Struthio camelus: one gene and its partner. The protein of the gene in region 1 purifies or fractionates together with the protein of each later gene. This does not show direct contact. Links are inferred from orthologs where the notes say so. Each region holds a gene or a part of one and is shown in the gene's direction. Other genes may lie near its edges. The genes, in order: RHOBTB1 and COPS6.

Region 1 (7,242 bases):
ACATTTGTGGCAACAGAGGCTAAAATATTAGAAGAATCGCAATAAACTGCAATGTATTTTAACTGTCAGCTTCCAGGCCTAACTGGAAAGGCCAGATATTTCTTCCCCCCACCTGCTCATTGTCTCTCCCACATGAACTCAGTTGCTGTCACCCCAGCTCAGCTTGCAGACCTGAGGACATGAACACTCCCTATTCCACCACAGTGCAAATGCCTATGCTCTGTTAAATTTCACTGAGACCTATACTCCCATGTAGTGCTCAGAAACAGGCATTAGGAGTTTCAGAAAGCTCAGGAAGTCCACCTCCATGCTATGCACACAGTACACGCTGAAGAAAAGGACAAATGCATGAAACACTACAGAACAGATCTTACATTACTTCTCTACAGAACAAAAACCTCTCCCCACATCTATTAACCTTTAAGAACCCAGATTGATAATGGAAGACATGAGTCATCTGGGACTACTGTAGCCAGAATAAGGTAATGGCAGTTAATCTACAATGATGCAGCAATGAAAAGACTCACAACCATAAATATTTTTGTCATCACAGTATCTTCTGTGAATGGTGAGCAACGTAATCATAATCTCGACATCACGACTGGTCTCAGTGTGCCTTGTGACTGAGTTCAAGAGATACTGTCAGCAGCAATTATTCTTAACAGTAAATTTAATAAAAAGCTTTGGCATCTAGTCCTGGAAGCCTAAAACTTACACAGCTGCTGCTCATCTACTCCACGTCCACTTCGGAGGGTAATATCACATGCGTCTGCTTACAGCTTCAACACTGTAATTTTGTACACAAAAGAAATTGCATGTTAGAAGTAGAAATGAATTTCTGTTTGCAAAATCAATATATATAACAGAGGAAACTTTGGTGAAAACAGAATAAGCCTTATGCAAAAACCATTAGCTTTCCATGCTACTGTTTAACAGTAGTTTAAGGCTGAAATAAGCTAATCATACTTTAAAAAGCAGATGAGTCACTAAATAGTTACTGTTTCTGAATTAAATTTACATAGTCATCCAAAGCATAGTTTTCATGAAACAAAAATATCCTAGATAGTAACTACAGGGCAGTGAAAAAACAACTTGACAGCTTGGAACCGTTTGGACAGTTTCTGATAACTTACAGAATATACTCCATTAACTGAGAGACAAATAACTATTCCAAAGGCCTAAATTTCCTTACGTACTCTTTGCTTTCCTCTATTTGCTAGGAAAAAAAAAAATCTAGCAAACTTTGAGCATCCTGATATTGCTTTATAAAAAATATCTTTAGCTTTTCCTTGTAAGAAAGCAACAATCAGCCTGATATTTAATGAGATTATTGGAAAGCCATCAAATTATATTACTTCTAAACCCCTTGAAAAGTTGGTGCGCCTATAAAGACAATAGCTATTCCTATTTATATTATCATTATATCTTGATCTATCTTGCAAATATAATTTTGTAGAAATCAGTGATTAATCATTATAATGAAGTGTTCTCTATAAGGACTACTCACACTGTGTAATTTCCTATGTGATCACTCTAATCCAAAGTCTTTTGTAGAGACGGACAGTTTATGCAGCAGCTGATGGGCAGAACCAAGCAGCCATATTTTCTTTGTTGGTTTCTAAAGGCAATTTGCACTGTTTTTGAAAAGCTCATCAAATCCTATTTGGCCTAGCCACGTGTTCCCATGTTTTAAATCTTAGTGACTCTTCTCCAGCTTCAAGTGTATTGTCAGTCACAGTCCTCAGGAAATACCACCTTTGCTGGCACAAGCAAGTAAGTGAAGGGACTACTCTCAACCTAGCAGTGTTTCCTCGAGGGCAGCACTGAGAAGCTTGCTTGTGCTGCAACAAAACTGGGATTGAACTTGGGAGTTCAATTTCCAGAACCGTCAATCAAGCACCTTTCACACACACTCAATTCATTCTGAAGTGCTAAAAGAAATAGATGAAATAGAAGTAAGTCATTCAGTGTTCACAAAAAGCAGCCGATGTAAAGCAAAGCATATGACCTGCTATGTGGGTTGATTTTTATCTTACACGGGGCTCGCTTAGCAGAGCTAGAAACGTTAGCCAATACAAGGTTTGAGGCCATCTTCTGAAGAGATGTAGATGATAACCTCGTGAGCTCAGCTGTCTGCTCAAATTGCCTTGCTAATGATAGTTAGGGACACGTTTCTAGCACAAGTTACAGGATTTTAGACAAGGTTTGTTTGTACTAATTGAAATTGCACAACTACACCTTCTGCACACAAATGCTGTGGAAGCGCTGTGGAAGCTTCCTCACTAGGGCTCTAAACATGAGTTACCAGAGCTCCGAATAAACTCTTTCCAAACAAAATAATCCTTCCATTACTGAGGAGTAACAATGACTCAATCTTTCTTTTTCCTTGATATAACACATCCAGCAAAGGCCATTTTCAGGATTTATCTAAAATCCTAAAATGCAGCCAAGCTGTTAACACTTTTCTTTCCCTTAATTAGGGGTTCACAATACCAAGTTTCATTTTTTAAGACCCAGCTCCTGGAATCCTATGATTATCCTCCCACATTTCTTTTATAAAGTTAAAGCATAGGCTACACCCGTGCTTGGCAATTCTCTAAAGCAGTAACATATGTGCTGACGGCAGTTCAGTCGAGGCAGCAGGGAGTTCCACGCAGGCTCCTTTACCCAGCTGCACAGCTCAGGCACGTTGGTATAGCATGCAGGCACGTACGTTCCTGGGCTTCACAACTCCACAGGAAAGATGGAGCCCATGAAATATAAAGGATCAAAACAGAAGGCACATTCACTGAATCCCATTCCTGTTCTGAATTTCATAATTTGGGGGCTAGGTTTATTACTTCCGAACAGAAGGATGACTGACATAGTGCAACAGAAGTTCCTCTCCTCTGCCATTCAAACAGGAGAGCATTCTGACAGCAAGTCTGCCTCTACTTGTAATGCTGCCAGCTCTTTGCTGTCTGTAGACCCTATATCACATTTTCAGCCTAGAAGAGCTGCGCTGTGAGTAGCACTCCATGATCAACCTGAAAAATCACTGTGAAGCAACTGCGGAAAAGGCTGAGTACATGGTCTCCAGAGCCCTCCAAACTCCTGATCCCACACACAGAAAGGCCCAGGACTGAACATCAAGTCCAAAACACCAAAGAAGCAAATAAGGTTACTTTAATACCAGGCTACTGGGCCATTCCCTGAACTTTATTAAGCACTTCAACAATATGCTCTTCAACTCTCTTAAATACTGTATAGAGCTAGATTGCTTATGACTTCCCACTATTGTTCCCTCTCAAGAGTCCTATTAGCGTATGACTGACACAGAGATGCCAGATACCATGAGGACAGTGTAAATGGGAAGCATTTTTGAAGTCAAATAGACTTAGCATTGTTTTTCAGTCACAACACAGTGGTGGAATTCTTTGCAGAGGAAACTGAGGTCAACAACATAGTGAATTTACTCAGCAGACAAGAATAGAAAGGACCTGAACTTGCAATTATTCAACACTTCCTCTTCTGTTTGCTTATGGAGAGTGCAGGTTTCCTTGTTAGCCACATTCAAGAGGAGGAGAGGAAATTTCCCTTTTGGAGGGTATCCAGAAGTTTCAGTTGCTTTAAACTGGCAAGTGAATTTTGAAGATAACTGTGACTTAACCTGGCTGCCTTGAGTAACAGAAATTTGGGCCTCCGTACTCACCAGCGACTGCAGTGTATATACAGGTCAATTAGCAGCCTGTATGGCAGCTGCTAACCGCAGACCCCAGGTCACCCATCAGTGCTACGTGCGGCAGCAGGTCTGCAGCCAGCCCACACCAGCCCTGCCCTGCAGCCTGCCTTTCCTTAGAGCACCAATCCTCCAAGCACCCGCACAAGCCGTGTTAAAGAGATTAAAGAACAAAAAACAAACCAAAAAAACTGAGCACAGGCAGTGAGAAGGCACGGCAGCCCCAGCGCCGGCGGGGGGGCTGCGCCCCTGGCCGCGGCCGGCTCGCCCCTCACCCCGCGACGGGCCGCCTCAAAGCACGCAGGATTTCCCGCCCGGGAAGCACCTCAGTTCTTGGAAACGGTTCTTCCCAGCGGCAGAACCTGAGGGGACAGCGGGGACCAGGGCTCCGCGCGGAGCCCTCGCGCCTCGCCTGGGCTGCGCAAGGCGGGAATCACCACAGAGCGCCGCGCCGCGCCCCTCCCCCCCGCGCCGCGCGCCGCGCGCCGCCAACGGCTCCAACGGCTGCAACGGCACCGCGTGCCGCGCGCGCTCACGTGACGCCCCGGCGCAGCCCCCTCCTGCCTGCCCCTCCGCGGGCCGGTTGGCTGGGCTGCGGCGGGTCGCCCCGGGCCGCGCCGCCGAGGAGGCGGGTCCCGCCGGGCTGGGCTGGGCCGGGCCGAGCCGAGCAGAGCAGAGAGGCGGCGGCGGCGGCTGGTGCTTCTCCCGCGTCCCCGGCGGGTCCCGCTCGGCGCTGAGGTGAGGTGGGGTGGGGGCGCCCTGAGGGGGCTGAGGGCGGGAGGGACCCCACGTCCGGCCGGCGGGAGCCGGCGTCCCGGCCCGGAGCCGGGTGAAAACGCTGACACCGCCTCCGGGCGTGCCGGCAGCCCCCGGCCCAGCTGCTGCGCTGGCGGGCGTTTTTAACTCCCGCGGTTAACGCGGTGTGAGGGGTGCTTGGAGGTACCTCGTGCTAGGCTCTGCCGTGGTGAGGAGGGCTTCTCCGCGCCCTGGGTTCTGGCTGCCCCCTCTTCTTGACGGGCAGAGCAAAGCCAAAACCTGCTCACGTTGCTCTTTCTGGATGTCGATCTGGCGCGCTCGCCAGAAAAATTAAAGTTTCCTCTCATATACGTTCTCCAGGCGCTTTCTGAACGTGCTTTGTTTGAAAAGCAATTTAGTGAATTAACGTAGCATGCACGAAGATAACTGGAGCTGACGCACTAGCGAAGTAGCATCCATCACATGAGCAAAAATGGAATTTTCCTGCCCTTGGGTTTCTTTTTTATCTTAAATTATTAATGGGTCTCTGCATCACATGAATGAAATTTGCAATTGGTACATAACACAAATGTATGAAGAGAACCAGATGCAAGAGGAGTCGGTTAGGAAGGAGGATGTATCTCCAGAAACACTGGCAGAAGGGTGAAGATAGAGAACCCCTTCTTTTCCTCAGAGTTACTGAGGAGCTCTGGGGGAGAAGCAGTGGGATAAATCCTGCCCTTTTGCAGTTATCAGAAAAGAGAAACAAGGAAGGGGAAAACTTTTCCCTACCCTGGGAGTATAAGAAGTTAAAACTTCAGCGCATAATGTTTTTGTTTAGCTGCTATTTAACTGAATCGTTGTGGCTATTCCTGAGGTAGCAGGTTAATGGCAATCACACGTGATCAGTTACTTTTATCTGTGTAGTCAAAACAGGGAAAAAATGCTAGATCTGTAAGGGAGATATCAGGTAAAGACACCTTCTTTGAAACTGAAGCAGAAAAGGTAAAGCATTTGTATGTACTGCAGGTTGTGAAACATTAAGGGTTTGAGAATTTGTTGAGAGGAAGTATTGGCTTAGGTGTCAATGGGAAATAACATTTCTACTGTCTTTTAAGCCACGTACAGCAACGGTGGGGTGTCATAGGAAAGATTATGGTAATAAGGAGGTAAAGATCTCTTCTTTGTTTTACTTCTTCCGATATTTGAACTTTTAAAGACAAAGACTTAAAGTAAGACCATATTAAACAAAAGAGAACAATCATATTTGTAAGTAGCCACTCTTCCACATAAACCCTTGAAGCTTGGTGAAGAGATTTTGAGCAGACATAATGAAAATATGTAATGTTACAGAAACCTTAAACCAATTTGCAGAGATGACAGGCTAGTCTGGTGTAGAAGGAAGCTCTTAAATACACTGGGAGCGTAAAATTCTGCGTTGTTGTTAATTTGGTAATAATCCTTACAAAAAAGGGGGAGGGGGGAATTTTGGGAGAAGAATAGACTGGACCAACACAGGCTATCAAATAACTCGAAGGTAAAATTGGGGTAGGTTTGAAGAGAAAATCAGGCTGAGTTTTCCATGAGTTTTTCTCTACTGTCATTGCATTAGAGGAAAAACTTCTCCATGGCAGAAGAGGCTTCTAGGCCAGGTCGCGCATCCTGGGTTATGCACTGATCCTGAGGAGCCATCCAGAGAGACCAGCGTTTCACATAGTCTCGTCTGTGTTCCTTCTGGGCCTTCTTTCAGTTGCAATTATATTGCCTGCCAAGCCCCACTGCAAGAGCCACCTGCCCGCGCTTCTCCCCAAGTAAAGGAAGTTCTGCCCCATGGAGAGGTAGACCATATAAATCCATCTCTCATTGAATTACTCTTTGCTGCAGCTATCTTTAGTTTTCTTAAACTTACTGTGATCTGCAGGCAGCACCATAGTACACATGCACAGAACAGCTGTCACAGGCATACTATAAATCCAGTGTATTTCTGAAGCCCTTGACTAGCTGTGCGTAAGCATTAGTTCAGGTGGCAGCGTGTTTCCTGTCTGGACGAGGAGCGTGTGGCAGAGGGAAGGAACTGTGCTGCCACTACCAGAACTGGTGCTCTCCAGGGCAGACGCACAGGATGAGAGTTGCATAAAGCCAGCTGTCTTCTCAGCTACGAGCTCCTCAGGACTCAGATAAGGAAGTTGCATGCCTGGTTTAGCTGCTGTGTTGTCCAGATTGTCATCACAGAAATAGAAGATTTCTGAGATCACAGAATAGATTGTCATCACATGGCCACTTTTACCATGGTAAGGGAAATCTTTGTAAATTGGAGTTGTAATCAGGTAATGCAATACTAATTAAGATTAAAACTTTTCTTTTACAGTCCAAACTATCTTCCAAACCAGAAAATGGAAGTAGGATGGGGGTGGGGGGCAGAATCCTTTTCTATGAAGTTGAACATTTAGGCTTATGCTTTAGTAATGATGAAAATCAGGTTTAACTACATTTCTGTCTGTTTATACTCTTTAAACAATGCGGTTGACTTTACAGTGTAACAATTAAAAATCTCTCTGCAAGCAGGAGAATCTGAATGTGGCCTTTACCAGGACAATAATGTGAATAATTAATGACATCTGAATAAGAATCATGAATGAGCTAGTGGAAGGACTTTGCATATCTGCCTGAGAATGAGAAGGATCTTAATGTGTCAATGGAAGCCATGTCTGTGGATTTTGATCAGGACAAAGCTGAGAAAAGCTGGTTGAAATGGATGAGATCGCAATGAAATAAAAATAGAAAGCTCT
Region 2 (8,032 bases), on another chromosome or scaffold:
GCACATGCTGCCGCCGTGTCACCCGACGTTGGCCCTGGTGGGTCTTTGCAGCCGTATCTGCCCCTTCGCCTTCTTCCATTGCCAGGTGCTCTTCTTCCTGGCGGTGCTGGCGGGCGCTTGCAACCTGCCGCCGGGCGAAACGCTGCGGCGGGAAGCTCAGGAGGAGCTGGAGCGATACGGCGAAGCCGGAGGCGACCCGCGGCACCTGCACCGCCTGGGGTCGGCGCAATGGGCTTACTGCGCCGAGCTGGCGCGGCTCGGGGGTTTCGCCCCGCTGCCGCCGGTGCTGCGCGGCCTCTACGAGGCGACGCGGCGGAGCTGGGAGCTGGGCGCCGACGTTTATCGCCGCCGTAACTATCGGGTGCTGGATGAGGAGCGCTGGGAGGTGGTGGGAGAGGAGGGGGACAGGGAGGAATAAAGTCCCGAGAAGGCAGCCGGCGTCGGAGCGTGATGGAGGTGCCGGGATGAGGGTCCCTTCTTGCTCCGTCCCTTGCTGTCCCCTCCAGCCGCGTGGCCTCCTGTCCCCCGTCCTCATCCCGCTTCTGTCCCCCGTGCTCGTCCCCTGCTGGTCCCCCATCGCAGTTCGCGTCTCTCTCGCGTCCCCAGACCCCGTTTGCCCCTCGTCATCCCCCTGCTGTCCTCCATCTCTGTCCCCAATCCCGGTCCCCTCCTCTCTCCCATCCCGGTCCTCGTCTGCCCGCCATCCCTGTCCCCCATCTGTCCCCCATCCCAGTCCCCCATCTTCATCCCCGTCTGTCCCCCATCCATGTCTCCTGCTGACCCCTATCGTGGTCCCCTCCTGTCCCCCATCCCGGTCCCCTCCTGTCCCCCATCCCTGTCCCTTCCTGCCCCCCATCCCAGGCCCTGTCTGTCCCCCATCCCGGTCCCCATCTGTCCCCCATTGTGGTCCCTATCTGTCCCCCATCCCTGTCCCCTGCTTTCCCCCATTGAGGTCCCCTCCTGTCCCCCATCCCGGTCCCCATCTGTCCCTCATCCCAGTCCCCATCTGTCCCCCATCCCTGTCCCCTCCTCTACCCCATCACCATCCCTTCCTGTCCCCCACCCCGGTCCCCATCTGTCTCCCATCCCAGTCCCCTCTTCTCCTCCATCCCAGTAACCCATCCCCGTCCCCTCCTCTCCCCCATCCTGGTCCCTGTCTGTCCCCCATGCCGATCCCCATCTGTCCCCCATCCCTGTCCCCCATCCCAGTCCCCATCTGTCTTGGGGTACCCTCTTCTCCTCCATCGTGGTCCCTTCCTGTCCCCCATCCAGGTCCCCATCTGTCCCCCATCCCTGTCCCCATCTGTCCCCCATGCCGATCCCCTTCTGTCCCCCCATCCCGGTCCCCATCTGTCCCCCATTGTGGTCCCCTCTTCTCCTCCATCGTGGTCCCTGTCTGTCCCCCATCCAGGTCCCCATCTGTCCCCCATCCAGGTCCCCTCCTCTCCCGCATCCTGGTCCCTGTCTGTCCCCCATGCCGATCCCCATCTGTCCCCCATCCCTGTCCACTGCTTTCCCCCATCATGGTCCCCTCTTCTCCTCCATCGTGGTCCCTTCCTGTCCCCGATCCTGGTCCCCATCTGTCCCCCATCGCCGTCCCCTCCTGTCCCCCAACCCAGTCCCCATCTGTCCCCCATCGCCGTCCCTTCCTGTCCCCAACCACGCCAAACCCAGCGGTGGTTGGTGGTGGCGTGGGGTGGGGCAGGGGGGGAAAAACCATTGCGACACATCCCCTTTTATTCACCGCCAACACCGGAAACCCCAGGTCGCCGGCGTCTTCGGGGTGGAGGAACCGGCAAGCACCGTGGCAGCGGCGGTGGTGGCCTGAGCTGCCCGGGCCGGTCGCGGGGAGGTGACGGGCGTCGCGACGGAGCGCGGGAAGGACTCGGCGGCGAAGTAGTAGGCGAGAGGGTCGAGGACGGCGTTGGTGCAGGCGAGGAGCAGGGTGCAGCGGTAGGCTTGGTCGAGGGCCGGCCCTGGGGCGGCGCGTAGCTGGTAGCAGAGCAGGACGGCGTGGAAAGGCATGAAGCACGCCAAGAAGATGGCCACGTGGCTGAGCACCATGCGCCTCACCTTGGCGCCGTCCAGCAAAGCCATGCGGGCGGCCGGGCTGCGCCCCACGGCCCGCAACAGGGCCCACGAGCAACCCACCACGACGGCCAACGGCAGGCCGAAGGCCGCCGCCATGGCCCAAGCCACGGCCGGCTGCGTGATGTAGCGGGGCCGCTCGTCGAAGCAGCGCGTCGCCTCCGCCGCCGTCGTCGCCTCCTCCGCCGCTCGCCGGCCGGCGGCGTAGACCGGCACGCAACCCAAAGCGCTGAGCGCCCAAGCGGCCGCGCACACCAGAGCCGCCCGGCGCCGGAAACGGGCCGCGCCGGCGTGTAAAGGCAAGCAGACGGCCGCCCAACGGTCGCCGTTGAGGCCCGTCAGCAGGAAGATGCTGCCGTACATGTTGACCAGCAGCAACCAACCCAGCAGCTCGCACGCGGCTCGCGGCAGAGCCGCCCGGCCGGCGTAATGGGCCACGCGGGCCGGCAGCGACGCCACCAGCAGCAGGTCGCAGGCGGCCAGGTTGCGCAGGTAGGTGGCCGTCGGGGCCGCCGGCCGCCCGCCCCGGCCCAGCAACGCCAGCGCCGCCCCGTTCAGCCCCAGGCCCAGGGCGAAGATGAGGCCGTAGAGGGCGGCGAAGGCCGGGTTGGCGCCCGCCGTGCAGTTGGCGCAAGGCGCCGGCCCGCTCGGGCCCGGCGGCTCCAGGATGGCCGTGGCGGCGGGGGCCTGGGGATGGGATGGGATGGGGGGGTTGGTTTGTTTGTTTTTTTTGGGGGGGGGGGTCCGACCTGCCCGGGAGCCTGGTTGAGGGGGGTTGGTAGGAGTTGGGGAGGGGTCTCGGAGGTGTTTGGGGGTGGTCTCTGGGGGTCCCTGAGGGGGTCTTGGGGGTGTTTGGGGGGTATTTGGGGGTCCCTGAGGGGGTCTGGGGGTGTTTGGGGGTATTTGGGGGGGCTCTGAGGTATTTGGGGGTCCCTGAGGGGGTCTCAGAGGCACTCGGGGGTATCTGGGGGGGCTCTGGGGTATTTGGGGGTCCCTGAGGGGGTCTTAGAGGCGTTTGGGGGGACCCTGGGGTATTTGGGGATCCCTGAGGGGGTCTCAGAGGCACTTAGGGGTATCTGGGGGGCTCTGGGGTATTTGGGGGTCCTTGAGGGGTCTCAGAGGTGTTTGGGGGGGGTCTCTGGGGTATTTGGGGATCCCTGAGGGGGTCTCGGAGGTGTTTGGGGGTGGTCTCTGGGGGTCCCTGAGGGGGTCTTGGGGGTGTTTGGGGGGTATTTGGGGGTCCCTGAGGGGGTCTTGGGGTGTTTGGGGGTATTTGGGGGGGCTCTGAGGTATTTGGGGGTCCCTGAGGGTTCTCAGAGGTGTTTGGGGGGGTCTCTGGGGTATTTGGGGATCCCTGAGGGGGTCTCAGAGGCACTCGGGGGTATCTGGGGGGCTCTGGGATATTTGGGGGTCCCTGAGGGGTCTCAGAGGTGTTTGGAGGGGTCTCTGGGGTATTTGGGGATCCCTGAGGGGGTCTCAGAAGTGTTTGGAGGTGTTTGGGGGGGTCCCTGGGGTATTTGGGGGTCCCTGAGGGGGTCTCAGAGGCGTTTGGGGGGACCCTGGGGTATTTGGGGATCCCTGAGGGGGTCTCAGAGGCACTTAGGGGTACTTGGGGGGGGCTCTGAGGTATTTGGGGGTCCCTGAGGGGGGTCTCGGAGGCATTTGGAGGCTTCCTGAGGGGGTCTCGGGGGTGTTTGGGGGTATTTAGGGGGATCCCAGGGGTATGTGGGAGTCCCTGAGAGGTCTCAGAGTCATTTGGGGGTATCTGGAGGGGCTCTGAGGTATTTGGGGAGGCCCTGAGGGGGTCTCAGAGGTGTTTGGGGGGTCCTTAGGGTATTTGGGAGGATCCCTGGGATATTTGGGGGTCCCTGAGGGGATCTCTAGGGTATTTGGGGTCCCAAGGGGCTCCCAGCTGTGGAGCTGGGGGGGTCCCCGGGGTGTTTGGGGTGATCGGGGAGTTTGGGAGGTCTGCAGGGGGCCTCCTGGCTCCCTGCCCTGACCCCCCTGGGAGGGACCCCCCACCCTGGGGACCCCCCGCACCCTGTCCCCCTTGTCCCGGGGACTCACCGTGCTCCCTCCCCACGCCGGGTGCCTGGTGGGGTCCAGAGTGGCTGCTCCCGGGGTGCTTTTGGGGCCAAGCTCCTGACGCAAGCCTGGTAGGTGGAAACTGGGGAGCACTGGGTTGAACTGGGAGGCACTGGGGAGGATTTAGGTTGGGCTGGGAGGCAGTAGGAGGGGACCGCAAGGCTCAGGATTGGTCTGGGGGGGCACCGGAAAGGGTCTAGGAGGAACTAGGGTGGAGTGAGAGGCACTGGGTTGAACTGGGAGGCATTAAGAGGGGACCATGAGATCCGGGGGGGGGCACCGGAAAGGGTCTGGGAGAAACTAGGGTGGAGTGGGAGGCACTGGGTTGAACTGGGAGGCACTGGGGAGGATTTAGGTTGGGCTGGGAGCAGTGGGAGGGGACCGCAAGGCTCAGGGTTGGTCTGGGGGGGGGTACCGGAAAGGGTCTGGGAGAAACTAGGGTGGAGTGAGAGGCACTGGGTTGAACTGGGAGGCGCTGGGGAGGATTTAGGTTGGACTGGGAGGCAGTGGGTTGAACTGAGAGACATTGGGAAAGGCCTGGGTGGGAGGAACGAGGTTGGACTGGGCGGGAAGGGCAGCAAGGGGCTGGCCTGGAGGGGCGCTGGGAAGGACTGGGAGGTGCTGGGAGGGACCAGGCTGGACTGGGTGGGACTGGGAGGCACTGGGAGGCTGCCCACCCCGGTCCCAGCACTCACCTGGCACCGGCGGAGCCCCCCCGGGTGGTGACGAGGGGCCAAACGGGGCCCAGAGCTGCCCCTGAAACTCCCGGCTGCTCGGTGGCTTCCTGCCACCCGAAGGAGAAGTGCCGGCGCGCCACATCCGGGAGAACGGGGACGCCGTGGGGACGGGCACGGGGACGGGCACGGGGAGGGGGGCATGTGGGGATGGGGACGTCTTGGGGGGACACGGGGCCTGGGGATGGGAGTGGCCCTGGGGATGGGGATGTCTTGGGGGGACGTGGGGCCTGGGGATGGGAGTGGCCCTGGGGACGGGGACATCTTGGGAGGACATGGGGCCTGGGGACGTCCTGGGCACAGGGACACTTGGGGATGGGGACACCGTGGAGATGTGGGGCCTGGGGACAACCTGGGGATGGGGACACCTGGGGACGAGGATGTCATGGTGACATGGGGCCTGGGGACACCTGGGGAGGGGGACATCCTGGGGATGGGGATGTCATGGTGACATGGGGCCTGGGGACACCCTGGGCACAGGGACGCCTAGGGACGGGGACCTCCTGGAGAAGAGAACGTCATGGCAACCTGGGGGCCCAAGGACGTCCTGGGGATGGGGACACCTGGGGATGGGGACACCATGGAGATGTGGGGGCCTGGGGACGGGGACGCAGTGGAGATGTGGGGCTTGGGGACACCCCGGGGATGGGGACACCTGGGGATGGAGACATCATGGAGATGTGGAGGCCTGGGGTCAGCCCGGGGATGGGGACACCTGGGGCCGAGGATGTCCTGGGGATGGGGACACCATGGAGATGTGGGGGCCTGGGGAAACCCTGGGGATGGGGACACCATGGAGATGTTCAGCCTGGGGACACCTGGGGAAGGGGACACCTGGGGACGGGGACACCATGGACATGTGGGACATGAGGACAACCGGGGCGGGGGGGGGGGCAGGGCACGTGACCAGCCCCCTCCCTCCGCCCGCCTTCCCGCCGACAGCGCATGCGCGCCCGCCGACACTCCCGCGTTTCTCCGCGGCGCATGCGCGCCCGCTTCGCCCCCCCGCAGCCAACGCCCACGCCCTCTGCGCATGCGCAGAGGCGCTGAGTACGGCGGCCGGGCGGGGACACGCCGAGCCAAGATGGCGGCGGCCGGCGCCTCTTCCTCCGCGGCCGGGAGCAACGGGACCGGCGGCATGGAGGTGGACGCAGCAGGTACCGCCCGCGGGGGCTTCAACCGGGCTCCCGGGCCTGGCGCCGGGGGCCGCCTCGGCGCCGGCTTCACCCCGCACCCGCCCCGGGTCTTGGCCCCGCCCCCACGACTCTAGACACGCCCCCGGGCGTTGCGGGTCCGGCGCGGGTCCCACCCCTGAGGCCCCGCCCACTGCCCCCTCTGGCCCCGCCTCAACCCCCCTTGGCCCCGCCCCAATCCCCCCACTGGCCATGCCCAAACCCGCCTTGGCCCCGCCCCAACCCCCTTTGGCCACGCCCCAATCCATTTGACCCCCTCCCAGTCCCTTTGGCTCCGCCCCAATCCCCTTGGCCCCGCCCCGATTCCCCTGGCCCTGCCCTTTTTTGGGGGGGGGAAGGGAGGGGTGTGTGTCTCACCTGGGAGGGCCCTATCGCCCTGGCCCCGCCCCCAGGCCCTGGCCCCGCCCCTCCACCCCCAACGGCCCCGCCCTAGATCCTATAGCCACGCCCACAAGTCGTGCATTTCCCCCCCACACACACACAAAAAAAAATCCCCAGGGGCCAGAAGCCCACTCGGCCCCGCCCCCAGCCCCCCTCGGCCCCGCCCCCACCATCCTCGGCCCCGCCCCCAGCCCCCCTCGGCCCCGCCCCCAGCCCCCTGACGCGGTGCCCCCGCAGCGGCCCCCTCGGTGATGGCAGCGGGGGTGACGGGCAGCGTCTCGGTGGCCCTGCACCCCCTCGTCATCCTCAACATCTCCGACCACTGGATCCGCATGCGCTCCCAGGAGGGGCGCCCCGGGCAAGGTAACCCCCCCCCCCGATACCCCCCCACTGCCCCCCGATACCCCCGACTGCCCCCCCATACCCCCGACTGCCCCCAATACCCTCCCACTGCTCCCCGATACCCTCTGACTGACCCCGATACCCCCGACTGCCCCCCCATACCCCCGACTTCCCCCAATACCCTCCCACTGCCCCCCGATACCCTCTGACTGCCCCCCAATACCCCCAACTGCCCCCTCGATACCCCAATACCTCCCTGACTGCCCCCGATACCCCCGACTGACCCCCGATACCCCCCAACTGTCCCTGCCACCCCCCAATACCCCTGATACCCCCTGACTGCCCCCCGATACCCCCCAACTGCCCCCGATACCCTCCGACTGCCCCCGCCAATCCCAATACCCCCCGACTGCCCCCGATACCCCCCAATTGTCCCCCAATACCCTCCGACTGCCCCCCACTGCCCCCAATACCCCCAGATACCCCCGACTGCCCCCTGCCACCCCCTGATACCTCCTGGTGTCCCCTGACTGCCCCCCAGCTGCCCCTGATACCCCCTAACTGTCCCCTGATACCCCCAACTGTCCCCCGATACCCCCCAATTGCTCCCTGATACCCCCCAACTGCCTCCCAATACCCCCAATACCCCCCCACCGCTCCCTGATACTTCCCGACTGCTTCCCGACTGCCCCCCGCCATCCCCTGCCTGCCCCCTGCCGCCCCCGATACCCCCTGGTGCCCCCTGACTGCTCCCCACCACCCCCTGAGACCCCCCGACTGCCGACCAGCTGCCCCTCGCCACCCCGATACCCCCTGGTGCCCCCTGACTGCCACCCACCACCCCCGATACCCCCGGTGCCCCCTGGCTGTCCCCCGACTGCCCCCCCGGCACCCCCCGACAGCCCCCTGGTGCCCCCCGACTGCCGACTGTGCCCCCCAACTGCCCCCCGTGGCTCTAGACTGCCCCCCGCCACCCCCTGATATGCCTGGCACCCCCTGATGCCCCCGGTGCCCCCCCTCGACTGCCCACCTTGCCCCCCCCCCCCGACTGTCCCCACAACCCTCTGGATGAGCCCCCCCCCAAGTCCCCTGGACTGGTCGCAGGGCCACCAGAGTGGTCCCAGTGTCTCTCACAGCCCCCTGGACTGGTCTCAGGGCCCCTCAGACTGGTCCTGGCAGCTCCATACTGGTCCCAGTGCCTTGAGGATG

What was found.
Region 2: the proteins of RHOBTB1 (region 1) and COPS6 purify together in Homo sapiens (affinity purification with mass spectrometry; 4 studies listed by BioGRID and IntAct, counting the BioPlex papers as one, with this or other methods). This does not show direct contact. The link is inferred for Struthio camelus from reciprocal best matches to the Homo sapiens genes RHOBTB1 and COPS6.

The regions. Positions count from the first base shown.
Region 1 is NC_090948.1:36,261,697-36,268,938, reverse strand, and holds the start of RHOBTB1 (rho-related BTB domain-containing protein 1), read left to right. Parts: upstream 1-4,214; 5' UTR 4,215-4,456; intron 4,457-6,065; exon of another isoform or gene 6,066-6,744; intron 6,745-7,242.
Region 2 is NC_090978.1:609,872-617,903, reverse strand, and holds the start of COPS6 (COP9 signalosome complex subunit 6), read left to right. Parts: upstream 1-4,817; 5' UTR 4,818-4,868; coding exon of another isoform or gene 4,869-4,992; 5' UTR 4,993-5,011; intron 5,012-5,849; 5' UTR 5,850-5,940; coding exon 5,941-6,064; intron 6,065-6,718; coding exon 6,719-6,844; intron 6,845-8,032. Other genes in the region: uncharacterized protein, read left to right, coding at 1-418; lysophosphatidic acid receptor 5-like, read right to left, coding at 1,741-2,775, 4,156-4,241, 4,869-4,992. UniProt on the Homo sapiens protein: Component of the COP9 signalosome complex (CSN), a complex involved in various cellular and developmental processes.